Ovis aries: one gene and its partners. The protein of the gene in region 3 interacts with the protein of the main gene of each other region in a biochemical or structural test. Links are inferred from orthologs where the notes say so. Each region holds a gene or a part of one and is shown on either strand. Other genes may lie near its edges. The genes, in order: SCML2, PSMA3, CDKN1A, CCND3, SKP2, CCNA1 and CASP3.

What was found.
Region 1: the proteins of CDKN1A (region 3) and SCML2 form a complex in vitro, tested with the Homo sapiens proteins (2 studies listed by BioGRID and IntAct). The link is inferred for Ovis aries from reciprocal best matches to the Homo sapiens genes CDKN1A and SCML2.
Region 2: the proteins of CDKN1A (region 3) and PSMA3 form a complex in vitro, tested with the Homo sapiens proteins (4 studies listed by BioGRID). The link is inferred for Ovis aries from reciprocal best matches to the Homo sapiens genes CDKN1A and PSMA3.
Region 4: the proteins of CDKN1A (region 3) and CCND3 form a complex in vitro, tested with the Homo sapiens proteins (2 studies listed by BioGRID and IntAct, with this or other methods). The link is inferred for Ovis aries from reciprocal best matches to the Homo sapiens genes CDKN1A and CCND3.
Region 5: of the proteins of CDKN1A (region 3) and SKP2, one has a biochemical effect on the other in vitro, tested with the Homo sapiens proteins (3 studies listed by BioGRID). The link is inferred for Ovis aries from reciprocal best matches to the Homo sapiens genes CDKN1A and SKP2.
Region 6: the proteins of CDKN1A (region 3) and CCNA1 form a complex in vitro, tested with the Homo sapiens proteins (2 studies listed by BioGRID and IntAct, with this or other methods). The link is inferred for Ovis aries from reciprocal best matches to the Homo sapiens genes CDKN1A and CCNA1.
Region 7: of the proteins of CDKN1A (region 3) and CASP3, one has a biochemical effect on the other in vitro, tested with the Homo sapiens proteins (3 studies listed by BioGRID). The link is inferred for Ovis aries from reciprocal best matches to the Homo sapiens genes CDKN1A and CASP3.

The regions. Positions count from the first base shown.
Region 1 is NC_056080.1:16,602,931-16,606,430, reverse strand, and holds part of SCML2 (sex comb on midleg-like protein 2), read left to right. Parts: intron 1-984; coding exon 985-1,055; intron 1,056-1,886; coding exon 1,887-2,121; intron 2,122-3,500. UniProt on the Homo sapiens protein: Putative Polycomb group (PcG) protein. PcG proteins act by forming multiprotein complexes, which are required to maintain the transcriptionally repressive state of homeotic genes throughout development.
Region 2 is NC_056060.1:68,603,469-68,607,544, reverse strand, and holds the start of PSMA3 (proteasome subunit alpha type-3), read right to left. Parts: upstream 2,801-4,076; 5' UTR 2,739-2,800; coding exon 2,718-2,738; intron 103-2,717; coding exon 20-102; intron 1-19. UniProt on the Homo sapiens protein: Component of the 20S core proteasome complex involved in the proteolytic degradation of most intracellular proteins. This complex plays numerous essential roles within the cell by associating with different regulatory particles.
Region 3 is NC_056073.1:10,679,769-10,683,496, forward strand, and holds CDKN1A (cyclin-dependent kinase inhibitor 1), read left to right. Parts: upstream 1-1,307; coding exon 1,308-1,743; coding exon of another isoform or gene 1,744-1,940; exon of another isoform or gene 1,941-3,178; coding exon 3,179-3,228; downstream 3,229-3,728. UniProt on the Homo sapiens protein: Plays an important role in controlling cell cycle progression and DNA damage-induced G2 arrest. Involved in p53/TP53 mediated inhibition of cellular proliferation in response to DNA damage.
Region 4 is NC_056073.1:15,737,031-15,741,330, reverse strand, and holds the start of CCND3 (G1/S-specific cyclin-D3), read left to right. Parts: upstream 1-1,500; coding exon 1,501-1,698; intron 1,699-2,597; coding exon 2,598-2,813; intron 2,814-4,300. UniProt on the Homo sapiens protein: Regulatory component of the cyclin D3-CDK4 (DC) complex that phosphorylates and inhibits members of the retinoblastoma (RB) protein family including RB1 and regulates the cell-cycle during G(1)/S transition.
Region 5 is NC_056069.1:38,233,650-38,237,668, forward strand, and holds the start of SKP2 (S-phase kinase-associated protein 2), read right to left. Parts: upstream 2,801-4,019; 5' UTR 2,621-2,800; coding exon 2,577-2,620; exon of another isoform or gene 2,493-2,576; intron 2,079-2,492; coding exon 1,807-2,078; intron 1-1,806. UniProt on the Homo sapiens protein: Substrate recognition component of a SCF (SKP1-CUL1-F-box protein) E3 ubiquitin-protein ligase complex which mediates the ubiquitination and subsequent proteasomal degradation of target proteins involved in cell cycle progression, signal transduction and transcription.
Region 6 is NC_056063.1:25,417,567-25,421,855, forward strand, and holds the start of CCNA1 (cyclin-A1), read right to left. Parts: upstream 2,801-4,289; 5' UTR 2,666-2,800; intron 2,138-2,665; exon of another isoform or gene 1,446-2,137; 5' UTR 1,422-1,445; coding exon 1,257-1,421; intron 1-1,256. UniProt on the Homo sapiens protein: May be involved in the control of the cell cycle at the G1/S (start) and G2/M (mitosis) transitions. May primarily function in the control of the germline meiotic cell cycle and additionally in the control of mitotic cell cycle in some somatic cells.
Region 7 is NC_056079.1:14,236,275-14,239,492, forward strand, and holds part of CASP3 (caspase-3), read right to left. Parts: intron 1,988-3,218; coding exon 1,859-1,987; intron 1,542-1,858; coding exon 1,366-1,541; intron 1,023-1,365; coding exon 902-1,022; intron 1-901. UniProt on the Homo sapiens protein: Thiol protease that acts as a major effector caspase involved in the execution phase of apoptosis. Following cleavage and activation by initiator caspases (CASP8, CASP9 and/or CASP10), mediates execution of apoptosis by catalyzing cleavage of many proteins.

The DNA of each region.
Region 1 (3,500 bases), on a different chromosome or scaffold from region 3:
GGAGGGAACTGTGGAGCCCTAATATTTTTATAGTAAAGAGATTAATTAAACAGGGAGTATAGAAAAAAAAAAACCCTCATGTTTGATGAGAATTAAAGTTTATATGAGTTAATAGTACCTTTAATACTGCTGTCAAGTCTTTCAGGGCATTGTGACTGACACAGTCAATTGAAGTGTCCGGGAAAAGTGTACTGCCTTTTGACCTTTACTTCTAGCATTATATGTCATCAAGACTAAGTGAGAGAAAGAACAGAAGGAGTTTGCAGAAAATATAGATTGTTACAACAATCTGTGTTAGTCATTGCACTGATGACTGGTTTCTGCTTTATTCTGCCACCATATTCTGACACCCTGGATGGAGATCTAATAGTCAATTGAGAAACAACGCTGGTTCTCAGAGTTTTTCTTTCCATAAATTAATGCTTTATTTCTGCTATGCCACACACCTTTAGATCCCTGTGAAAAACAAAGAAATAGCTTCAGAATAGTGAGATGAAATGATAAAGACATATTTTGAGTAAATTAGTATTAGAGACATATGAGTAGAATTTGCTATTACGCTATAAAAAGTCCTTTAGTTGTTTCTAGAGTTCACGTTTTTAGAATCACTGTGATGCAGTCCTCATTACATCAAGAAAATCTGGATTATCATTTATATCAGAACCATTATTATCAGGAAATGGTCTTATTTTTTATTTCCATGCTGGTAGTCAGATGAGGAAGTTTGTATTTGTCCTTTGAGAAGTATTTCTTTAAAGAGATATGGAACTAAAATCCATTTTATTCCTGAAAGTTAGTATACATATTATATATGTTTTAAAAACCCTGAGAATTCTCTGGCAATCCAGTGGTTAAGACTTGATACTTTCACTGACATGGGCCTGGGTTTGCTGTCTGATTGGGGAACTAAGATCCCATAAGCTATGCTGGTGGGGCCCAAAAATAAACCAAAAAAACCACCTATTTTTGCATGTTTTTTTCCAGATAATTTTCAATGGGAAAAATACTTGGAAGAGACTGGATCTTTAAGTGCTCCTTCAGAGTATTTCAGACAGGTATGCCAAAATTCTGTAGATACCATGTTATATTTATTTTTGTAAACTATTAACTTGTTGAAGGGAATCTGTTATTAGGTTCTATTAGTGTGAAGCAATGTGGGATTGTGGGAGTGCTGCTTAAGAACCAGATGGTCTCTTCGCATTCATTGATTAAGAATTTACTTTATGTCAGGTATACTAAGCTCTTATGACTGCCCATCTGGAGGGAAAGGTAGCCATGTAAATAATTAATGATAAAAAGTGTGATAACTATACTGGAAAGGACTCACAGAAGAGGTCCTATCTGAGGTAGTTGTAATGAGGGGAAGGATATTCCAGGCAGAGAGAACATCCAAAGGAAAGAGACATGGGCGTAAAAGAACCTGAGTGTTGAGGGATGGTATGGGTGGCTGGAGCACTAAGTAGATAGAGACCTAAGTATGGGAGTGAGGTTAAAGTGTGGTGGCTTTTAAACTATACTGACTGTTTGGACTTTACATTAGGCAGTGGTAAGCTGCCTTTTGGCTTACTTTAAGAGTAAAGGCCTAATCAAATTCTTATATTAGAAAGGCACTCAGGATGCATTTTAGAGGTTGTATTTGGTTTGCCTGGAAGTGGGCAGATGAGTGAGTGACAAGCAGTGGGCAGCCATGTCAGGCTGTGTGTCAAGCCAAGGAGAGAATTTGGAGATCTTTTTGTTAACCCTTACAGCTCTCATTTTGTTCACCAACTGTTGTAACTGTTACTTAAAATGTTCCTCATGTATTCTGGTAACATAACTGACCGTTTGATTTTCCTACAGTTAAAGAGTTTTAACAGAATTTTATTTGTATGTGTTTATGTATATAGTCTAAGATTCCACCAGCTAATGACTTCAAAGTTGGCATGAAGTTGGAAGCCCATGACCCTCGCAATACGACTTCAGTATGTATTGCTACAGTTGTTGGAGTTACAGGTGCCAGGCTGCGTTTAAGATTGGATGGTAGTGATAACCAAAATGACTTTTGGCGGCTGGTTGATTCTCCAGACATACAGCCTGTTGGGACATGTGAAAAGGAAGGGGACTTACTTCAGCCTCCACTGGGTAAGGATAAACAGTTTTAAAACAAAATATTTTTGCTAATGTAATATTCAGTAGAAATAATTTTAACTGACCCTTTGAAAATCTCTTCTCCTAGGCATTCTGGCAAACAGACGGTCAGGTGGTTACTGTGGAGAAGGTTTGAGAAAGTAACTCAGTACCATATGTTATAGAGTTTCATTTAAGTACATATTTTGGCATATGTGTGGCTAAAGGTTCCCACTCCAGAGCAAGACTCCTTCTGCCTTAAAACTTGAAATGTCAAAAGCAGATTACACTTGCAGATTCAGAAACCCTTCTGGGGGAGAAGTTTGTAGCATTCGATATGAGTCACTTCCTCCCTCAGTATTGTCTAATGAGCCATTCATCCTTTTTGTTATGGGGATTAGCATGGCAGAAGGAGATGATTTTACACTGGGACGCCAGTGTTAGGCTTGGGAATTTCATTACACCTGTATGGGAAGAAATCATAGTGAGAGGGGTAGGAATCAGTTACTTTAGGTCTTTGTAAAGGAAGAGATTGATGTAACACTTCAGCAAAGGTTTTTAATATAAAATTCTTGATTTTAACCAAGTTTTTAAAAGAAACAAAGTACATGACCCTAATTTTGTGCAAAAATTTTTCTGTTTTAATACTTTGGTGTACCATGGTATTCTGTAGAATATAAGTATTTAGTTTATTACTTGCACATTCTGAGTGAATGGTGGGTATTGGTTTTTGTTTCTTTTTTATAATGCTAAAATGTAAATGCTCTATTATAATGCACAGTGAGACAGTTAATTTTTTTTGTCTCCAACTAGTGAAAGAAGCTGTGAGAATAAAAAATTTAAGACAGTAATAACTGTTTTTTCTAATAACATCATTTTATATTGTCTTTCTTCTAATGGTTAATTAATACTAACTTGGTTTAAAGTATTTTTAAAAACTAATCAAGTATGTGTTATTCCCAAGAAGATGGTTTAGGATATGTGTGTTTTCTGCTTTTCCCCTTTTCTTCATAACATTCAAATTTTTTTATTGCTTATTTTTATAATATCTTAAATCATACAGACTTCTGTAACAGATATACATCTGAGGCTTAGTGCTTCCATGTTTGGGTTTTATTTCTCTATTGACAGTATGCTAGTATGTGTTTGTATTTTGTTTAAAGGAAACAGCTGTGGTGATTGTCAGCATTTCAGACACATAACCAAATTTATAATCATTATTTTTTCAAATTACTTTTTAGAGTTTATTAATTAAAAATATGAAATATATAGCAATACATGCTGACTAGTATGCATTGTGATACCACATAATAAAAAAATACAATTTTTGCCAATTTGCTCATGAGATGCTTTTGAATAGTTTAGTTTCCATTTTAATATAACACAACTTACAT
Region 2 (4,076 bases), on a different chromosome or scaffold from region 3:
GTAAAACATTGTTTCTTACCTACTATTTTCCACAGCCTTCATAGCATATTCAACTTGAAAAACTCTTCCATCCGGAGAGAATGTAGAAGCTGACAGATCATACTACAAGGAAAAGGCAATAACAAGCTTAGAAGGATGCACCTTTGGCAGTAATAACAATTTTTTCCTAAATGGTTTACACATCAGAAATATATGTTCAATCTCAGTGAAGATTTTGCTGTAAAGAGAAAGGGAAAGTATGTCAAAGCAGGAACAGCAGCTAAGAGAAAAGTTACACACTAGATTTCTGCTATTGACAAGCAATGAACACAAGTCCTGGGTAAAGTCAGAACTTTTCCCACACAGAACATGGCTCATTTCTGAAAAAATTACCATTACCAGTGTAGAAACAACACTGGCTTCTCTTTAGTACCACAGCTTCTCATAGCTGTGGCAGTAATGAACTAAAGGAGCTTGGATACATCATTCAGCATTCAGATATTTAATAAGCATCTATTATATGTCAGTCACTATGAGAAAATACAAAGACTACTCATTCTTAAAGTCCTTCATTTTCAAATCAGACCTCAAACAGATCCAGGTGCTGGAGATAAAAGGTTCTAAAATAAGACAAAGTGAACTTATGGTCTCAGGGAATACCACAGACTACCTGATCAGGAAAGGCATTGCTACAGAAATTATATTTATGTTATTTAAGCTGAGCCAGACCTAAAAGACAAGTAACTACTCATTTAGAATATGGAGGAGTGTCCTGGCATCTGGCATAAAAGAACTCAGGGTAGAAACAAGAGCAGCAAAATTAAGAAAAGGAAATAATAATGCCACTGAATCTTGAGCACCATAAATGGTAAACAGAACAGTAAACTATATTAGAGGCATATAAGGGCCAAGTTATGCTAAGTCTTTTATTTTAGGCTGGAACAGGAAGTTTACGTTTTATTCTAAATGCAATAGAAAGTCATTGGAGTTTGGGTGGGGTGAGGGGAAGAGGTTCTAATTTTTTATTAAATGCTGTTCATCTGGTAAATGAATTACAGAGAAAACAAGAGTGGAAGCAGAGATAGGGTAATCCAAAGGGAGTGTCTTAGACAAGAGAGAAAGACGTGGAAGGTGTTACCCTTTGAGTGTGCAGTCAAAAAAACCTTGCTAATGGATTGGCTTTAGGAATACAGTAAAAAAGAACTCAGAAGTGCACCATAGATTTTTTTTTTTCATTTAAGCAACTAAAATTGAACCATTCACTGAAATGTAAATTGTAGGAGATGCAAAATGGCAACAGAAGAAGAAAACTCAGAGATCTACTCTGGACGTGTCATTTGAAATGCCTATCAAATAATCAAGTGGAGAGAAATGTCAAGACAGGTCTTCCCATCTGGAGTTCTTGGGACAAGACAAGCGTTAAGTCTTCAATAGTGGTGTTTCTTGCCTCTCAGCTTGTTGGTCTGTTAAAGGAAGATCTTTAACTCTACCAGCATTAATACCAAAACATCTCACCTATTTATATTATCAAACATTTTTAAAGGGTTTGTATAACCTTTCAGAACACTATTAATCTAGGGTAATTGGTCTGTTGGTCTGCCGAACGAAGATCTTTACCACCGTAATACTCAAAATTTATCACCTATTTATATTACCAAATATTTTTAAAATGTTTGTAGAACCCTTCAGAACACTATTAATCCAGGGTAATATTAATGTAGTTGCAAAGTCAATGAGCATCAACTAATCCAAAAACAGTATGACAACCTTAGTATAAATTGTCTATTATCTAACTCGGAAAACCAGTATTTGGGCCTAATGGTGAGAATCAAAATCTAATGCACAATGGGAGTAGATGAACTGAGAAACCCATTACCCAATGCCTCTAGTGGAACCAATGAATAAATATTTCTAAACACTATGTTTTCTATATGGGGAAATACATAAAAGGAACAAGCTGAAGACTGTATATATGCAGTACGTTTAACAAAGGAAAGTTAGTAGGCCGAACAAGTTAACAAATCTAACTCCAAAATCCTGGACAGTCTGTTCAAAGAAGCGGTTAAGTCCGTAGCTAATCATTTAAACGCTTACGGTGCCGAGACCTCACACTGTTGTTATTCCTCTAGGAGAAAAGCTGGGACAACGGAAAAATGTAAAAGATTCTTCAGATTCCGCTTTTTAGACAATTTTCCTTGTCAGTTCTCAGAAGGTTTCAGGGACTCATACAGAGAGGTCCATCGGTAACCTCGAAGCTAAGGCAGAGAATCCCCGGGAGTCAGCAGCATCCCAGGAACCGCAAGGGTGGGGAGGCGGGGAGAGGTTCTTGGAAAGCGGCGTCACAAACTTTGGACTCTTAAGCCTCCTTGCCTCAGTGGTGCTCAAGAGCTTAATTGTTGCCCAAGTCCTTCACAGCGCGTGCACACACACCATTTCAGGCCTCAAGAGTTTCCACTTTCGGTTTCCCTAAGTGGCTAAAGAAAGTGACTCAGCAACCTTTTAAAGAGGCTCCAAATCTCACTGCTGCGCGGCCAAGCCCGCTACACCTGAGCTGAGAAGCGTCAAGTCACGGTCACCGCAGGCGCGGGCCTAGACCGTCCGGCACTGCACAACTGGAAGCGGCCCACCTGCCCCCAGGCAGTCCCAGAGGACCCCGAGTCCGCGCACCCACCGCGGTCTGTCTGCGTTCCCTTCCACGCTAATCCTTAGCCTATCACACAGAGAAACAAAGAACTCACCCCGGTGCCGATTGAGCTCATGGTGCCAAAATCACTAGGACGCTTATGGCTTCAGGCCTAAAGCGATCCCCCAGCACCACAGTAAGAGACTAGTAACAAGCTCTCTCATTGACTATTCTTTCAACCAATAGTCTTTTCTGTAGCTCGTTCCTGGAGCGTTGGTCCACGGAACAGAGGATTGTGGGAAAGGAGGGGGCGGGAAATGCACCCGGCAAGTAACGCGCATGTGCAAAAGCAATCTCACCGGGGTTAGGTAGGCTCTTGGTTGTTTCGTCTTCGGTTTGAGTTCGTAGATTCGTTCTGTCTTCTGGTTGCTTGAGAAGCTCCGCCAGTCCTTTTCCTAGAATTATTATTTATCTTTTATCCTTCTCTTTCGCTTCCTTATTTTTTTTTTTTAAAGCAAAACGGAGAGATGTTCTCATACCCTTACAAAGGCCAGAGAAAACGGTAAGGGAGAGGTCTCCCTCCACCATTGGCGGCCTGGTTCTAACCCAATATGTTGAAGCAACCCTATCATCCACCTATTCTAACAAGAAGGAAGAAAGTTGTATTCTTGCATTCTAAGGGTATCACCTCTGGGCTTAGGTCGGAATTTTACAGGATTAGTACCCTTTGTATAACTCTAGTAGAATTGAGGATAAGCTTGATTAAATATTATTTGTTGAACTCTGTATGTCCCAAATACTCAAGTTACATCCTGCTGATGAAACGATGAAAGGGACGGCACCTCATCCTTTACACTCAATGGGAAGAAACAAGCAACAGGGAGTAAATGGGCAAATAGTTGCACCTTTTGGTAAAAAAAAAAAGAGAGAGAGACAATGGACGTTTGAACTTTAAACCTGTTATTTAAGGAATGACTTTCCGAATGGGTGATACTTAAATGGAAATTTGGGATTGTTATCTCAGTATAAGCTTGGCTTATAGGAACTGTCAGGTCAGTATGGCCTTAAGCGGGAGAGAGTGACAGGAAATGAAATCAGAGAGGTGGATATGGAATCAGATTTCATAATAGTTCGAATTTTAATCTGATTTTAAATGGAAAGCTGTCAGCATTTTTTAAACTGCTAAATACTTCCGTGTGTATTTCCCCCAAAAGAACATCATTTTAAATATCCACACTGTAACTGTGAAAATAGAAAAGTACCATTCCTTTTTTTTTTTTTTAATCTGCAGACTTTGTTTACAGATTTTGGCAAATCCCTCAATAATGCCCTTCACAGCCAAAGAAAATCCAAGATCACATGTTGTATTCAGTTGTCATGTCTCTAGTCTCCTTTAATCTGGAAACACTTTCTTAATATTTCTTTAGATTTCATGGCATTAACACTATTGACAAAAAACATTTGCTTTATAAGA
Region 3 (3,728 bases):
GACATCCTTGGGAAAGGCCCTCAGCCCACAACACCTGTCAGCTGCTGTCTGAAGGAGGCGGTGGCCCAGGTGGAGTGATGGGGAGGAGTCAGCCAGAACTAAAGGCAGAGAGAAATAATATTCTCCAAACACTTTCTCTGTACTTGGTACGGCTCAGAGGGCGTTATCTACAACCGCTTAGCGAATTCTCACATCTGGCCTCTGAGACAGTCGCTGTTGTTATCTCCTTCTAGAAATGACACCAGAAATAGATGTCCCTTTCATCATAGGCGACTGGAATGTAAAAGTAGGAACTCAGGAGGTACCTGGAGTTACAGGCAAGTTTAGCCTTGGAGTACAAAGTGAAGCAGGGCAAATGGAGTTTTGCCAAGGGAACGCACTAGTTACAGCAAACACCCTCGTCCAACATACACAAGAGACAACTCTACACATGGAAATCTCCATCTTATACAGGAGGAAAACAGAACCCAGAGAAGTTAAGCCACTTGTCGAAGGTTGCCCAGCAGAGCCTGGATTCCAACCCAAGTGGCCTGGTTCCAAAGCCCTCACCTTGAACCACCAAGATACAGCCGTTGAACTCTGCTCCATCTGCCTTGCCTGGCGGGGCCCGCCAATCATTTCCTTGAGCCTGCGTCTACAGCCCCACTCTTTAGACATGTATGCAGTCCCATTTTACAGATGAGGAAACTGAGGCCGGGGGACTTGAAGTGACTCTTTGAAAGTTGAGGTAGGAAGTGGCAGAGCGAGGACTAGAACCCAGGTGCTTTTAACCCCAAAATCCAGAGTAGTTTTAAGTCACTGAGCAGGATTACTCCACATGAGCATCTAGATGGAGGGATTTGAGAGGAGGCATCCATTTTCTTGGGAATTGACCTCCCCGGCCAGGCCTGGAGTTAGGAAACTGCTGGACTCTGACAATTCACACATACCTGGGGGCATTCACACCCATGAGGGACACCTCAGTGGGAAAAACAAATTGATTTTAGCTGATAACACCCAGTGGTAAACAGGACCCTGATCCCTGCTATTGCAATAAACTTGCCTTTGTTGACATAAACTTGCCCTTCAGCTGCCCACTCCCCCAGTGACCTGGGGGTGTCAGGCTGACTGACTCTGCCCCTCACACCCTTTCTGTGGGTGGAGGTTGGGAGAGCCTGTGGGAGGAACCCGAGAGCCCCTCTCACCTCACTTTCTAGTAAGGAGACTGCGCCTGAGGTTACGCAGTGGCATGGCCCAGAGAGGGAGCGTCCGACTTCCTGAGTGTCTCACGTGCCCCGGGTCTTCCTTGTGTTCCAGCCACAGGTGCCATGTCTGAGCCGTCCAGGGACGCGCATCAGATCCCCCGCAGCAGCAAGGCCTGCCGCTGCCTCTTTGGTCCAGTGGACAGCGAGCAGCTGCGCCAGGACTGCGACGCCCTCATGGCCAGCTGCGTGCAGGAGGCCCGAGAGCGATGGAACTTCGACTTTGTCACCGAGACGCCCCTGGAGGGGGACTTTGCCTGGGAGCGTGTGAGGGGCCTCGGCCTGCCCAAGCTCTACCTGCCCGTGGGGCCCCGAGACGATGTGGGAGGGGGCAAGCGGCCGAGCCCCTCATCCGCCCTGCTGCAGGGCACGTCTCAGGAGGACCACTTGGACCTGTCGCTGTCCTGCACCCTCGTGACTCGCTCCCCTGAGCGGCCCGAGGGGACCCCTGGTGGGCCTGGTCCCTCCCAGGGCCGGAAACGGCGCCAGACCAGCATGACAGGTGAGGACGGGAGCAGAGGTGGCGGCAAGGGATTAGGACTCCCAGAACTCACTGTGCCAGGGCTGACCTGTCTGGCCCAGCTTACTCATCGCTCTGAGGGGTGGGAAACAGGCCCAGAGAGGGGAAGTGGCTTGCCTGAGGTCACACAGCAAGTCTACTACCAAGACCAATTAGCTGACATTTATTTGGAACATTGACTATGTGCCAGGACCTTTGATAAGTGTCTAGATTTCTTTTAGTCCTTATAGTGATCTAATATCATAGGACATTCTTGGCATCCTTTTACAGGCAAAGGAACAGGACTCTGAGAGGTAGAATGGTTTGCCTTAGGTCCCACACTGAATTTACCATGGAGAGTAAATGAATGATAATTTCCTGGCTGCCTTATCCAAACCTAACTCGCCTTCCCCTTCATACATACACACCTTCACCTGCACTTCCTAGCCTATTTTTCTCTTTTTGGCACTTTTTAAACTATCAACAGCTACTTCCATATTTTGATATAGTCCATCTTCCCAAATAGAATCCTATCATCTCCACAAGAAAGAAATCTGTATCTCTCTTGTTCATAATTGAGTCCTCAGCACCTTGGATGGTGTGTGACACATAGTAGGTGCTTGAGGGAAATGGAATAAGTGAGGCTGGCAGTTGAACACTATGCCAGGCCTTCAGCCAACGTCTTTTTATTTTTTACTTTACAAATGTATTACTGTTATTATTTTGGCTGTACGGCTTGTGGGATCTTAATTCCCTGAGCAAGGACAGAACCCAGGCCACCTCTGTTGAGCGCAAGGAGTCTTAGCCACTGGACCACCAGGGAAGTCCCCACCAAGGTCTTTCCGGAAACATTTCATTTAATCCTCTGAGCATCGTACCAGCGTTATCCTCATTTTATAGGTGAGGAAATGGAAGCTTGGAGCAGTGCAGCCAAGAATCCCACAGCACATTTGCAGCTGGGTCAAAACTAACAATAATGATAATAATAATAACTAACCTTTATATGGCTCAGACATCATGCAGAACGCTCTCTGATATATCAGGCTCTGCAAAGAAGCAGATGCCCAGTACCGCTGGCCACATATCACTGCTGAGTGTTTGCCATGAGGAACTAAATTTTTCTATTAGTCTAATGCTAGTTAATTTAAACAGCCGCCTAGGGTTAGCGACCACTGCATTTGGGCAGCTTGGCTTAAAGCAGGCCCATGCATGTAAAGTCTGTTATTGATCACGTCTGTGAAGCGTGGGGGGATGTCCTGTATGTATGTAGCCCTCCGGGAGAGAGGCTAGAAGTTTCCAGAGTTCTTCCCTATACTTGGCAATGTGTCTCTCGGGCCCTGGGGAGGGGTCCCTGGCCCCTCTGCAGGTTGCACTGCGCAGGTGGCTCTGCTGGGCCCTCTTCCTCCTGACCTGGCTGACATCTGTTCTCTCCCCCCAGATTTCTACCACTCCAAACGCAGGCTGATCTGCTCCAAGAGGAAGCCCTAACCCCGCTGCTGGAAGCACGTCCTCGTGGAAACAGGGGCCCACTGCAGGCCTCTTCTGTACCTTTTGCCTTGGTCCTTCAGTTTGTGCGTCTTAATTATTATTTGTGTTTTAATTTAAACGCCTCCTCTTGTACATACCCTGCTTGCTGCCACCCTTCCCACACCCCCAGCCTCTGGAATTATTTAAAAAAGAAAAAAATTAGCAGAAAAAATAGGCTTATTAGATTGCTAGGTATTTTTATTATATGAACCGTTATTTAAACCCTCCTCATTCTTTGCTCGGAGAAGGCAATGGCACCCCACTCCAGCACTCTTGCCTGGAAAATCCCATGGGCGGAGCAGCCTGGTAGGCTGCAGTCCATGGGGTCGCTAAGAGCTGGACACGACTGAGCAACTTCACTTTCACTTTTCACTTTCATGCATTGGAGAAGGAAATGGCAACCCACTCCAGTGTTCTTGCCTGGAAAATCCCATGGGCGGAGCAGCCTGGTAGGCTGCAGT
Region 4 (4,300 bases), about 5.1 Mb from region 3:
GGACAGGGAAGCCTGGCATGCTGCAGTCCATGGGGTCTCAAAGAGTTGGATATGACTTAGTGACTGAAGGACAACAATCTGGATGGTGAAACTGCCAGTACTTACTCTTTACTTTTTTGTGTGACATTGGTATTTTCTGTCTTCTACAATGCATTGAATATTTCCGTGATATGCAAACAGCAAAAAATTTATTGTATAAAAAAGAACAATTCACTGGGATAATGCTTAGCGCAGGACTGACCTCTTTCTATAGAGTGTCATTTCTCTAGTAATTAACTTCCTTAGTGTCTCACCTCCTTGGAGGACCCCAGGAAAGGCAGGGATCCCCATGGCCTCCTGCCATTTGGAGCATTACTGGAGGCTTGTGGTGTGTTTGCCTCCTGGTCACGCGGAATCCAGCTCTGGAAACGCTGCAAAGTCCCAAAGCTTGGGAGGTAAAAGTGGCGCCTGAAAGATTTTATACAATCTGAGCAAGAAACTCCTCTAGAAAGGAGGCAGTTTCTCCGCCCATCATTTCCTCAAACGGAAACTAAGGCCAACGTCAGGGTTTGTCCAAGGCCACACACCCAACTTAATGACAGACAAGGTGAGGCCTTGAATCCATGACCCTTCCGCCCTGTTGTAGTTCTCAAGCGTGCGGATTTAGGACTGTCTCTTCTCACACTTTAGTGTGTACAGGAATCACCAGGGATCTGGTTAAAGGCAGATTTTGATCCAGTAGGTCAGGGGATGGGCCTGAGGTTCTGCTTTTCTGACCCGCTCTCAGGCTGGTTCGGGGATCAGTTTAAGTAGCCACGGGGTAGAGCAGAGATTCTGGGGGCAGACCGTCGGCTTCCCAATCCTAGCTCTGCCGCAGACGAACTATTATTATAGTTACTGCTTCAGTTTCCTCAACTGCAAAATCAGTATAAGACCTAACCCACAGCTTCTTCATTAAGATTTTAATAAGTGCTCAGACCAGTCTCCCCTAAGATCTAGCTATTTTATTATTATTTACTTTTCCTAGAGCAAGCAGCGGGTGAAGTAGAGTTTGACGAATGAATGAATAACCTTTCGGGGCGCCTGGAGTCGGGAGATGCAAAAATGGAAGGGCTCGGAGGTGGGGGCGGGGGGCGAGGAGAGGCCCACCTCCAAAGCACACTCCTCTAGCACCGGGTGGTCAAAAGGATCCGGAGCGCCCGGAAGCCGGCGGCCCGCGCCCAGCCGACCAATGCGGTCGCCCGGGGGAGGGGGAGCGCCCGCCAGCCCTTTCCGTCCGGGCGCCGGAGGCCCCGCCCCCGGAGCGTCGCGACGTCTGAGCATTCCACGGTTGCTACTCGGTCTCGAGGGGCGGGGCGCCTGTCAGGGAAGCGGCGCGCGCGCGGCGGCGGGGGCGGGCTGAGGCTCGGCCGCGCAGTGCCAGCGACAGCGCCACAGTCCCGCGCCCCGCGCTCTCCGGCCCGCCGCCTGCGTTCTGGCTCCCGAGCCCGCACTCCCGCCCTGCCCGCGCGCTGCCCGAGGATGGAGCTGCTGTGCTGCGAGGGCACTCGGCACGCGCCCCGGGCCGGGCCGGACCCGCGGCTGCTAGGGGACCAGCGTGTCCTGCAGAGCTTGCTCCGCCTGGAGGAGCGCTACGTGCCCCGCGCCTCTTACTTCCAGTGTGTGCAGAGGGAGATCAAGCCGCACATGCGGAAGATGCTGGCGTACTGGATGCTGGAGGTACCGCCTGGGCGGGTCTCCCCTCCCCCGTCACCCCCGCGTCCCGGGCTCCGGACATCCCGGGGCCGCCCTGTCGGGACATCCTGGTCCTCAGCAACAATCAGCAAGATGTTTCTGTGGCGCAGATCCCCGGGGCCTGGACTTTTCACTCGCGCGCCCTTAGCCGGCTGCCTCGGTGCTGTCTTTTTCTTGCCCTTCTCTGACCCTGACCGCCAGGCATTTGGCACCCCCAAATAACCCTGTCTTCGGGCGGGGAAAGCGGGGCGAGGGCCACCCTCTCCCCTCTGACTTCTCTCAAAAGCCTCCCCCCGCCCCCACCGCACGCCCGGTCTTCTCTGGAGAGCGCGCCTGGAAAACCCTGGGCTCGGCCGCCCCCGCCGCAGAGCTGGTTCCTTGTGTGTGTCGCGGGGGTTCTGGCGGGGAAGCCGGTGGGGGTGGCGCGCTGTTCCGGCCGTCAGGGAAATGGAAAGTGCGGGAGGCAGCCGCTGGAGTCTCCTCCCTTCCTTTTGGGTGTGTGCACTGGGTGGCAGTAATGGGGGTAAGGTCCCAGTTCTCTGGCTTCTATGGGTGACTCTTCCGAACCCCTCTCCCTTGGTACGGGGGGTGCAGATCAGCCTCAGTTTGGATTCCTGAAGGAAGGGAGCCTCTGGCGTATCCCGCTCCGCCCCCCCCCCCCACTCCCACCCCCGGGGAAAGGAGGCACCGCAGAGGAAGTGGGAGGGTGTCACCTTGGGGAAGGCGCATCCTGCGTGTTAGTCCTTGTCACTGTGAGTACACCTACCCCCTCCCGTGTCTTGCTCCCCATTCCACTTCCCTTCAGCGCACCGCACCCCTCGCCTTTAGTTGCTGCTGCGTTTCCTAAGCCTCTGCCCCCGAAGTGACTGTGCGCCCTCCCCCAGGTGTGTGAGGAGCAGCGCTGTGAAGAGGAAGTCTTCCCCCTGGCCATGAACTACCTGGATCGCTACCTGTCCTGCGTCCCCACCCGAAAGGCGCAGTTGCAGCTCCTGGGTGCGGTCTGCATGCTGCTGGCCTCCAAGCTGCGCGAGACAACGCCCCTGACCATCGAGAAGCTGTGCATCTACACCGACCATTCTGTCTCCCCGCGCCAGCTGCGGGTGCGTGCATACCCTCCCCACCTGCCAGCACCCCCTGCCTCCTTCCTAACGTACCAGGATGGGGGAAGCTGAGACCTCGGGAGGCTTTCTGCCCCTGTGCAGGGTAGCAGCTTTTTTTCTTTTTCTTTTGACAAAAGATGGGACAGTGTGGTGTGATGGTCAGGGTGGCCCCAGTTCAGGCTTGCACTCCCAGCATGAACCAGATCCCCTGTCTTGACCTCCAGGGGGTGCCACTCCTTCATGGTCTTTCCCCCAGATAGCAACAAGTCAAACTGCATGTCTACACTCACCAGAACTTTGCCTCTGGGTTTACACAGCCACCAGGAGTTATTTATTGGCAGCAGCAGGGCATGCCTGTGCACCCCCACTGGAGTGGGGGAGTGGAACGTGCTTCACGTGGGGGAAGGGGCCGCCCGGGTTGAATCTTGTCTCCCAGTGTGTGGACTTTGTGATCAAAAAGTCTCCCAGAGCTGATTAAAGCCAGGCCCCAGCTGCTGTAAGGAAGGGCCGAGGAGTTCCATCCCACTTTGCTTCCTTCCTTCCTTTTATATCCCAGGAGAACCAGCTCCTTCCCTCATTCTCCATTCCCTAGTCTCACCCTGAGAAATTGCTCTCAGAAGCAGCTGCTTCAGGCCTGGTGGAATCATCTTTTCCCCTTTAGCCAAAGGCAAGTGCTGAGGCACAGACTGGGGCTGAACTGCAGCTGCTTCCGATGTGATAATGATGCCCTCTCCCCTGGCCCACCCACCCTGACCAAGGTCTTTCATAACCCTGTGGGGAGCTGCTGTCACTCCTGTGGTTTGGGAAGTGGCTCCCTGGGCCTCTTGCTGGGAACTTGGGCTGGGCTCTTCCCGAGGCAGGGCAGGGGAGTCATGGTTCTCTTTCCCCATTGAGCCTGGAGAGGAGGTGGGGAGTTGCTTGGATTTGGAAGAGGTTATTTGGGAGCGTGCAGATCATCTCTCGGGGGACCCAGGGGAGAGGGGTGAGCTGGCACCTTCCTCCATCTTGCTCTACAGCAGTCGAGTCTTCTCTTGACCCGAGAGGCGTCTCTGGGCCCCATCTCCCGGGGAGGAGGGCAGCGTGCTGGCTGCTGTGATTGGCTGGCCAGGAAAGCCAGGGTACTGGGGCCCCTGAGTGCTGCTTGTCGGGGAACGGGATTCCTCTTCCTGCCAAGTAGCTCTCGGATATGGGAGTAGGAGGCCAGAGCTGGGAATCTGGGAGGCTCCACAGCTCTTTGTGATGAATCTGGTAGTTTGGGGCAAGTCTGAAGGTGGAGCTGGTTTCCAGGGCTAGAGAGCAAGATGTTTCTGAAGGAGTTTGGGCTGGTGGAAGGGGACTTCATTTTTGTGAAAAGATGAGCATGGGATGTGTGCCTTTATGTGAGGGCAGTTTTTCAGAACAGGCCAAAAGTCCTCTCCTCCCACTCCCCCTGCCTGAGCTGGGGGTGGAGCGTGCCGATCGATGACTTCCTAGAAGGTCAGAGTTGG
Region 5 (4,019 bases), on a different chromosome or scaffold from region 3:
AATATCAAAATCTATCCAGAAGCTGCTTAGCACCACTCTCACACCTCTCAACAAGTCTCTAAGCTTTTATCCTCAAGCCCTCAAAGTTTAGTCTCAAGACACCAGTGTATCCTTTTCAAAGGTTACATAGCAACTCTGCTCAACTGTACCTCTAGCCCAGTTCTCACTATTCTCCCCTCTGCTGTTCTACTCTTGGAATATGGCTTCCTTGCTGTTCCTTGAACAAACACATCATTCTCCTGCTCCAGGGCCTTTGCACTACCTGCTCCTTCTGCTTGGGGCTCTTTTCTCCAAGATATTTGCATGGCACATTCCTTCATCTCCTTTATGCCTTTGCTTACAGCTCACTGTCCAAGTGAGGCTTCTTCAATATCCTGCAAACCAGCTTCCCATCCCAGGATCTCTTGTCCCTCTAGGCGTGTTCTATTTTTGTTTTTAGCCATAGCACTTATTCTAACATACTACACACCAGATTTGTGCATACTGCATCCTCTTTCTAGAAGAGAAGCTCCATGAGGGTAGAAATGCTTTTATTGTGCTCACTGCTATATCCCCAGTACTTAGAACAATGCCTAGCAGACGCAATGTGCTCAGCAAATATTTGCTGAATTAATGTTTTACATGGCTTGCCAGTAAGAAAAACTGATAACCCCAGGTCAACGCACTATGTTTACCCTATGGTTCTGAGTATTCCTGGAGCTCTGATCCACGGTGGGAGGCAGTTATAAATCAGCTTGAGAAGCCTGGAAACAGAGAGCTATTTAGAGGGGAATGACGTAGTGGAGTTCTACATTTCAATCAGTCCACTCTAGCTCTGGGGGATGGATCTGGGGAGGATAAGGCTCTGAATTATGAGTCCCTTCCTAAATATGAGAAATATTTAGGAGACAAGAGGGAAAGATTCAATGATTGGTTGGATTTTGGGGGGGGATGGTGGGAATCTGACTGACCTTTAGGTTATGGGGTTGGGGAAACTGAACAGATAACACAGTGAGTGATGGAGACAGCATAAAGAATTCCTCTTGGGAATGGATCTGTAAGGATGAGTCTCTCCCCCTTAGCTCAACATTCACTTCAGCAGTCCTTTGATAAATAACTAAAGTGATTATGGTAAAAGGCTCAACAGCGGCTACAGAGCAGCCAAATATAAACAAAAAGAATTCTATGGATCATTGCTTTGTTTCTATTTGTCAGAGGTATTGAGCTGGCCCTTAACCAGGCAGAGTCCCTCCTAAAGAAAAAGGAAGGAATGTCTTTTCACCGGTTACAAGTCAGTTCTGTCTCTGAAGACACACACATACCACCATTTCTGTAAGCACAACCAGTGGTCTGGTTTCTTTGGAAAATAACTTAGGAATTGGGCAGTTTTAAAAGGACCCTATCTGGCCTTCCCTGGTGGCTCAGAGGTAAAGAATCTGCCTGCCAATGCAGCAGTCACTGGTTCGATCCCTGATCTGGGAAGAGATCCCGCACGCAGCAGAGCAACTGAGCCCCCAGCGCCACAGTAATTGAGGCTGTGTTCTAAAGCCTGGAACCCGCAACTGCCGAGTCCACGTGCTCCAACTACCGAAGCCCCTGCGTCCTAGAGCCCATGCTCCCCCAAAGAGAAGTCTCTGCAACTGGAGAAAAGCCGGGGCAACAAGGAAGACCCAGCACGGACAAAAATAAATAAATAAATTTAAATTACAATTTCTTTAGAAGGGCCCCACCCCATGCTAAATAACCCTAAACAAAGGTCTACCGACAAAATAACCGGTCAATTTAATCCACCATTGACTGGGCTTGTATTTTACCCTCAAACCTTACCTGGAAAGTTCTCTCGGTTTAGCTTAGGTCTGCGGACAATCACAAAGTCCTTGTCATTTCCTTTGCTTTTCAGCCGTTTTCGTGGGGGACTCTGTGGGTGGCCCAGGTTTGAAAGCAGTTCCTGGGGGATGTTCTCACTGTCCACCTCCTCCTTCTCCAGGGCGGAGACCCCCATGCCTGAAAGCAGTTCAGAAGTCTTGCTAGAATCCCATCCCCACGTGAAACTGGTGGTAACGTTGCTACTCTGGTCGGGTATCTCCTGGAGGTGTTTCCTGCAGAAACGCACAATAGCCCCACGTTCCTTTCAAAAACACGCCCGTAAATAATTCCCAGACAGGCCTAAAGGAAGCTGCAAGCTATGCACCGCAGAAAGCTTTCACAGCAGTTAACTGAACTGCATTTTTACGTGCCGGCGGCGAGTCCCCAAGAATAAAAGAGAAAATAACCGAACACATCGAAAAGGCTTTTCGATTTCCGATCATGCAGAAGGCCTCAAGAATTTCTTAAAAGTGGAGGGAACATACAAGGAAAGAGGCAGGGCAATCACACACTGATTGAAAACAGCAGCAGGAAAGCCCAATAAGGGAAGACAAATAACATCCACGCTGACCACCGCACTAAAGCATCCACCCATCCACGTTTTCCCAAAGAGGCTAAGCAGCCATTCACATTACAGCATTACTAACAATATTAGCCAAGTAGCAAAACACGCGGCCTAAAAGAATTAAGACGGTCCATTCATGTTCTGTCTCCTTCTGCAATCGGTTTACCTGTGCATGGCGTCCGCAGGTTCGGGAGTTTTAAATGCGTGCATTAATTGCAGAGGTGCCCGCCCCCCGAATTCCCGCTTTGGCGCGCGGCGGCGCACTGCGTGCGGCGCACTGCGTGCGGCCCCGGCTTGCTGCAGCGAAACCCGCGAACTCTATCAACGTTCCATCCCAGCAGCGCGCGCAGAATTCTCCAGCCAGCCGGCTCTCCTCCGCAGCCGTCGTCTGCGGCCCCGCTGCCTGCTGGGAATTGTAGTTTCTGCCCAGCCTGGTAGTCCGGCTGCCTCGCCACTACTTCCTTTCCTTGCAGCTTTGCCGCCTTCGAGATACCCACAACCCCGCGCGGCTGCGGGACCGGACGACCCACAGGGTAGGCGGGGAAGCGGAAGTGGGCGGTGCTCCGGCTAACTGGGGAAATGTCAGCTGCTTGACTGGGGTTCGGGTTTCCTTTCTCGGGACCCCCCGACCTTTTGGTGACTGCCGCCGCTGTCGCCAAGGAGTGTGGGTCCCAAACCCTGTAAGGCTGTGGCGGCCGCGGGGTTTCCAGGCCCTTCTGGACGCTGTCCGGCGAGATCGGACGGTGAGCCCGAGGAGGAGAGCGTGAGGCACTTTGAGGTGTGGGGCCGAGCGCGGACTGAGGGGGGCCCCGGAGACCCCGAGAGGCCGCCGTCGCGGGGCCTACGTCCCAGGTAGCTGAGTGGAGGCCGTGGCACGCCCTGCCGGCCAGGTGAGAGGCTGCGGCCGTGGGCGTCACACCTGCTCCCCTCTCTGCCTGGAGCTGCGTACTCCACCCGGGTGAGGGCGGCCCTAAGGACTAGGTCTGTGGACAGGATCCTTTCCTTACGTGTAAAATAGGCACCACGGCAAGAACGCTCGTTTCACAGTCGCCGTCAAATCAGAGGAGGCTCGTGAGAGCGTTTTGTAAACGAAAGCGCGGTTCAAACGTCAGGCGGAGGTTTAATTTTAGGGGAGCAGGAGATTGCTGTGAGTGCCAGGGGAAAGCTCAGCATCTCCGGCAGCCTTGAGAAGTCTCATAAATGCTAGCATGAGAACAAATAAGGTGACTATTGTTTGCAAAAGGCTTTCCGTGCCACGCTAGCGGCCACCAGCAAAACCATTCGATTACTGTCTCAAAAAAAAAAAAAAAAAAAATTCTGTTTGCCTCACGTCCTAAAAGTCAGCTGCTTGCTTTTAGACTATATCCACGGAGAAAAGTTTGGAGATGGTTAGAGAGTGCCATTTTCTGGGTAGGATGACCGTGCGAAATCCATTGTGCAAATGTTCTATAACTGCGAGCCTGGGAAAACAGTGGAAGAGAGAGGGGGAATAACTTCCAACCCTAGTAAAAATGGAGAGGATTTATAAAGTTCAGAAAGAAGCACCCAGCGTCATCACAAAAATACTAGAATATCACTTAAGCATGCTGTGTGGCATACCTTCTTATTT
Region 6 (4,289 bases), on a different chromosome or scaffold from region 3:
GGTAATTTTCTCCCACTAACCAGATGCCACCAAGACACAAATGACTTGTGTCATTGTGTAGAAGAGGAGTAGGAGTAGTCAGTAGATGAGAAGCTTCTGATCTGGCCTCCATCATGACTTTTATTTGGGTGGGAAGGCTTTCTCAAACCTCTCAAATTTTCTCACCTGTACAATGGAAAGGATACCTGCCCACCTACTCCACTATACTACCGCCAATAGATATGCAGTACAAGCTTATGAGAAGCTGGTGTGATGACAGACTTGAGGAAGTTTTGTTGTTGTTGTTTTTTTAATCTCAAAATTCATTCTTAAGGATCCAAACTCCTTATTTGCATTTTAAGTGTTGAATTTATTTACCCTCTGTTTACATTCTGTTAAGGGAGGTGCCTATGATTAATTAAGCACAAGCAACCGGACATTAGATGGCCCATGATCTTCTGCCCAACTGTCCATTATCAGTCCTGGGGAGAAGCTGACTTTCAAAGCACACATTTGTAAGTAATCTAGTATGCTGGGATCCAATCCTGATTCTAATACCATCACCAATGAACTTAAAGGTTATCGGAGATGCTTCAGGGCACAGCCTAGGTCAATCTGAATACCATTCTGATCTAGAGAAACACCAGTACCACAAGTTAATTTTGGAGAAAGAAATCACAACCCACTCCAGTATTCTTGCCTGGGAAATTCCATGGGTAAAGAAGCTTGGCAGGCTACAGTCCATGGGGTCGCAAAGAGCTGGACACACCTTCGCAACTGAACAACAATAGTTTATTTTGGTGCATTCACAATGTCCTTTTAGCCCGGAACTTAAGTGCTTCCCTGGTGGCTGAGGGTGAAGCGTCTGCCTGCAATGCAGGAGACCCAGGTTCAATCCCTGGGTCGGGAAGATCCCCTGGAGAAGCAAATGGCAACCCACTCCAGTATTCTTGCCTGGAGAATCCCATGGGTGGAGAAGCCTGGTAGGCTACAGTCCACAGGGTCACAAAGAGTTGGAAACGACTGAGTGACTTCACTTTCACTTTCTTTTAAGTGACTTTACACATATTTGACTTAAACAGTTCCTAATAACAAAGAAAATTATTTAATATTGCTAGCTGAAAAAGGGACCTTACAAAGTGCTCTTTTAAAAAATCAGTGCCCCTATAGGCCAGATTCCAGGGCTGAATACTCAAGGGGAGTTTGTGCAGAAAATCTCAAGAGATCCCACTTCCCACCAAGACACGGGGGCCTTCCCAGCTCTTCCCAGGCATTACCTGGCCACAGGTCCTCCTGTACTGCCCATTCTCAGTTAGCACTCCTAGTACTGTTCTTTGTGGCGGATCCTGGCCGAACTGGCCTCTGGTTATCATCTGACAGGCATCAGGACCTCGGGACACTGGAGCCAGCACTACTCCACTCTTGGAGCTGCTGAGATGCATAGCCTCAGTCTCCACAGCTTACTGCTGTCAAGGAAGGAGAAACAGACAAGCCAGTTAGTCAGCCTCTTCCACGAAGGATAAGGATCCAAGGATGCTGAGACTCTCTAGAAGACACAGCCCTGTGACACATGATCTTCCTTGCTGTTATTAGGGTTGAAAGGGCCTGAGCCACAGTGCAAGTGATCAAAGCCGCTTTAAACCAAAACGATGATTTGAATCTCTCCAGCCTTTCTTCCAATACCTGGCTGATGGCTGGAAGAAGAGAAGAATATGACAAACCTCCAAGCCAAGACACTAACCCCCACATTAGTGGGGAGTTCAAACCTACAAGCCCGTGTCTTTCCTGGCTGTGATGCTTATCCATTACTCCACCACCCCCTTCCCTGCAAACCAGTGACCCAGGATACATCACTGTGGGAAAGTACGTCCCCTTCTCAAGTGACAAGCAGAGTGCTCTTCCGCGGCCTTCCTCCCACAAGACAGAAGGCCCCAAAATCTGCTTGGAACCCACAGCGGACCTCGCTCTTCTCAGTCTTATCTCTTTACACATAAGTCTCGAACAATTAGCAAATGCACACGAGGATTGGGAATAAGGGTCCAATGAAGGGGGCGGGGCCGGGGCGGGGCGGGGCGGAAGGGGACGGAGGTGTTAATAGATTCTAGCCGGGGCGCTGGGCTCCCAGCGTCTGCTGCCCAGCTCAGAGCTAATTACTTTCAACTCCCCCCGCCCCTCGCCGGCCCCCGCGTCTGTTGAATCGGCCAATCAGCGCAGCTCCCGGGCCTCGCGGGGGCCGTTTCCATGCCAACCGCAGGGGGGCGTGCGCGCTCTGCGGCCTCATCTCTATGGCTACCTCAGCACCCGAGGACGCACCGCGACCCTTGGGCGTTCAGGGCTGGGTGGGGCCAACCGGCGGCGGCCCTGAGCCCCTCCTAAGCGGCCCTGCCCGGGCGTGTCTGGGCGGGCGGCCGCGGTGGCCGCGGCCCACGCCCCCACTGTGGCCGATATCTGTAAGGGAAGAAGCAGGCCCGCCCCGCGATGGCCGGGGTTTGGAAGGGACTGTTTTTACTTGAACCGGTTCCCCAACAGCCGCTAACTCCTCCCGCTAACGTCTTTTCCGCGGCCCGCTCCTGAGAACCTTGGCCCGGGAGGGCGACGCGGGGCCCTCGGGGCTGCTGAGGCCGCGGCGCCTTGACCGCGCCGGGCAGACAGCGCGGCTCACTCCCCTTTCCCCCAGCTCACACACCTAAGCCTACTCCCAGAGAAAAGCCAAGTGGCAGCGAGCGGGCCTCTGGTTGGAGTCGCGGCCTCAGTCCGTGGTGGCGGCGTGTTCTCGGTCATTTTGGGTCCTTGCGCACCGGAGGCCACGCCTGGCCGACCTGGGTTCCGGTGCATGTAACCCGACAGGGCGGGAGAGGAGACCTGGGGTTTTAGGGTCGCACGTGGTGCTCTAGGTCCCCAGGAGAGAGACCTTCCTCGACGGTTCCGGCAGCCCCAGCGTGAAGCTGGCCCAGGAAGAGGAAGGAACGCGAGTGGCAGCGACGGGGTCTGGGACGTTGAGAGGGGATAGCGGGGAGGCTGGGAACCAGGGACTGGGCAGGTGGCCTGGTCACGTGGGAAGGAAATCCTTGGATCCGGGGTCCGCGGCAGGGTAGGGTGGAAGCAGGGGGCCTAATTTGGGGGTAAGAGGTGAGGGTAGGGAGAAGGGGCCTTGGCCACGCAGGAAGGGAAGGGGGGGGGGGTCCTTGGAAACTAGGGAGCCCTGGAACTTGCAGAGGTAACTAGAGAGCCAAGTATAAGAATCTTTACCTTTATTATTTTTTTGAAAATGTTGTTGTGCACACACACACACGTTACTGCTTTTGTCTGTTTTTAATTTTTAAATATTCCCATCTCTAAGTTCCCATCCATAAAACAGATAATGGAAACCATTCAAATGGTCGTTTTTTAAGAACTCGTTATTTCCTTCTTCCTTGTTTTGAATGAAAATAATTGCTAATCTTACACCTCTCCCAGTTTTTTCTTAAGTATTCTTTATTAATGGGCTCACTCAGCGATGTGTATGCATTACTTTAATGGGAAAATTGAAGTATTCTACAGGAAATGAGGATGAAAGCGATTGAATCAGGTGTTAAGAGGCAGTTAGGAGGCATCTTGCAAATCACTCCTGGATGCCCAAGGAAAATAGAAATGGATTTTAATGTGAAACTAACTTCTACACATTTATTACCCACTTTCATTCATTGGGAAGCAGCGATCCCTTTGCACCCTGGAATTCCTATGCCTTCGGATATGAAGGCAACACAGCAGCTCTGGTAACAACTCAAATTGTGGCAACATATGTAGGTAGGCCCCAAATGCTTGGTTTTGCAAGGTGCTGCTATCTGGTGAGGAAAAGAGCCTTTCTGCCCCCTTCTCATCTGGTGCTGCTTTTGGAAGTCTTCTGGGGAGGCTTCCATCATCTGACCACACTATTGTGACTTCTGGAGACTCTAAAGGCGTCAGGGGTGGACTCTGTTAGGGACTCAGGAGCAGGTCTTTCCAAGAGCCAGGGTTACTTTGGCAGGAGCTAGAGGCTCAAACGGTAGAGAATCTTCCTGTAATGCTGGAGACCCAGTTTGAGCCCTGGGTTGGGAAGATCCCCTGGAGAAGTGAATGGCTACCCACTCCAGTATTCTTGCCTGGAGAATTCCATGGACAGAGGAGCCTGGTGGACTATAGTCCCTGGAGTCGAAAAGAGTTGGACACGACTGAGTGCCTTTCACTTTCACTTCTGTGCCCTCCTGTGACCTGATGCTCTGTACATCCCTTTTGATATGATTTACTTGATTGAGGAAAGTGACCAGAAACCTCATACTCATCCTTTCTTC
Region 7 (3,218 bases), on a different chromosome or scaffold from region 3:
ACGCACATACATTTGAGGGTCTTAAATTTGTCTACAGGGAAAGAATGGAGTATAATAAACACATTATAGCATATTCAAAAGTCCAAAAAGGGGAAATAGTGTATTTATCGTTATTTTCCCAGATAAACTAGTGGATTCATTGCTGTGTTTTTGGCCACGTTGAGTGGCTTGGGGGACCTAATTCCTGGACCTGGGAATGGAACCCGGGCCCACAGTAGTGAAAGCACCAAGTCTTAACCACTGGATTACCGGGAAGTCCCTGGATCCACTGCTTTTAATCTGAACTGGAAAGATGCCTGGAGGTTAAAATAAATCATATCAACTATATTTAAAAATGTTATACTGTTTAAAAATACACTTGCCCTGTATTTCCAAACACACCCTGAGTTAGTTGTATGAGTAAACAAGTCCATGATCAATATATATTAATTTATATGATGACAAGCGCTCACACACATAACGTGTAATACAACCAGAGACAAAGCGCAGGTTGATAACCTAGCCATAAATCATTTTTAACCTTATTTTCTCTTGTTCCACTTCTACCCACTGATATGCTATTCATGTTTATCCTTTCAGTTTCCTAGCTCCCAAAGAATTCCTGGAAAACACACCTCTCTCCTATTTTAGGAAGTGGGCGAAGCTCTGACTTGGCCTGTATTATAATATGGATTCCAGGTGGTGTCAAGTTCATGAATGACACTGTGCAAATGTGCTTTCTTACACAGGCACATTTTCTAGCCAAACTGGGCTAAAGACAACTTTTTGAGACTTCTCCGTGGTTAGGGCACCCTAAAACAAGACACAGTGGCTTTTTATGGATATCAAAATCCCTATAGCCTTTGGAACACACTCTTCAGTGTTTAAAATCTACCTATTTCAGTATCTGTAAGTTTCTTACCAGGTGCTGTAGAATATGCATACAAGAAGTCTGCCTCAACTGGTATTTTCTGACAGGCCATGTCGTCCTCAGAACCACTGTCTGTCTCAATACCACAGTCCAGTTCTGTGCCTCGGCAGGCCTAGAGGTTAGAAAATAAACACCTATTTAAAAATTAGAAAAAAAAAGAAAAGAAACATTTATTGGAAAAAAATGTGTGTACATGCATAAATGTGTAACTTATCCCTAAGAAATGCAAAGGCTCTATAAAAACTGATGTTAATTATTAAGAATCATTTTGCTAGAAGTCTAAAAATTAAAGTTTATGCTATGTCTCCTAAGCAGTGGTTTAAATAAATAAAAAAGTAGCAATAGTTTAGTAGCTTCAAGGAAAAAAAAAATTAAAAATCCTTTGGATAATCCACAATGGAGTAAATTAATCCCTAAAGAAGCCTCAATAACCAAATCGCTCAGTTATCTATTACCTGAATAATGAAAAGTTTGGGTTTTCCAGTCAGACTTCTGCAACAGTCCCCTCTGAAGAAACTTGCTAATTTTTTCAGATCGACGGGTCCATTGGTTCCAAAAATGATTCCTTCTTCACCATGGCTTAGAAGCACGCAAATAAAACTGCTCCTTTTGCTATGGTCTTCCTTAGAAACTGGAAAAACATTTATAGGCAAAAAAAACCAATGCAATTTTATTCAACAATTTCATATGTACTGTATGGGAGTAAGATGAAGAAATCTGAGAACTGAACTAAGAGATCGTGTAAGCCCAGCTTGGGGCAGAGCAGCAGAGCAACACACCTCAGACTACTCTAGGGAGTCGGTATGAATAACTCGGACTTACATAAAATGTACAGAGTAGGGCTGTGTACTCTTTAGTTTCACAATTCTCATGCTTTACTTTCATGTAGGTTATAGCTAGATTGTACATACATTGGAAATGAAGGTCATTCTTTTCATTATTTCTTACCGTCGCTCATTAATTCCAACATTTCTTTACGTGTAAGATCGTTTTTAATCCTGACTTCGTATTTCAAGCTCGTGAAGGTTTCCCTGAGGTTTGCTGCATCCACGTCTGTACCGGACCGACAGGCCATGCCTTGAACAGAAAGCTACTTTTAATTGCATGAAAAAAAAAGATAAACTGCTTTGAAATGAACTATTCAGGGATCCACACAATCCACAAGAAACTCTTCCTTTCAAATGCTAAGGAAATTCAATATTCTGACAGTGGTGACACTAAGTCGCTTTCATTTCTTCGTATACAAGACACTTCATGATATAATCTGTTATCTGTGTTCTCTGTTACAGTCACAAAGATGTTTTTCACAGCTGCTTAGATAGTGATAAACAAATGACTTAAATGCCTAAAAAGAGAGGTTTGGTTAAATAAATTACAATTCATTTATAATATGGGATATTATGTTGCCACTGAAATTTTGTAGACAAAATTTTGCCATAGGAAAATGGTCACTATTATTAAAAGAAAAAAAAAAGAGTAGAAAATAAAAGGATCCTACTTTTAAGAAAAAATTATACACACACACATAAACATACACAAACACATACACATCACCATACACAGACGTATATATCAACACACACCTCACACACTCAGAGCAACTATTTCTTTGATTCTAAGTTTTCAACAATTCTAAGATACATCAGTAGTTTCATCGTATCTTTTTGGGGGAAACAAAAAAAACCCCATAAACCACTAGGCCACATTAACACTGTTCAAAAGCGTCTAAGCCTTCCGACGACCATGAAACCATGATCATGACCGGCTTCATCTGCAGAGATGTGGGACCCACAGCAAGAAGAGTCCAGCAGAACTCGAACAAGGCTCTGCAGCTGCTGTGTGGCCTGTACCCCGTAGTCCTGGACTTTCTTCATCCCTTAGAGCACCTTCCACATGCATGTATGGACTGACTGAACAATGCCCTCAGATTTAAAAATCTAAAGTATTAGGCATAGCAGGGGGAAGGCACTCAGATAAACTTAACATATATGGAGGAGGCAATGGCACCCCACTCCAGTACTCTTGCCTGGAAAATCCCATGGGTGGAGGAGCCTGGTAGGCTGCAGCCCATGGGGTTGCTAAGAGTCTGACACGACTGAGCGACTTCACTTTCACTTTTCACTTTCATGCATTGGAGAAGGAAATGGCAACCCACTCCAGTGTTCTTGCCTGGAGAGTCCCATTGACAGCAGAGCCTGGTGGGCTGCTGTCTATGGGGTTGCAAAGAGTCGGACACTACTGAAGTGACTTAGCAGCAGCAACAGCAACACATATGAAAAAAAAACCCAAACAACTAGATGTTTCCAGC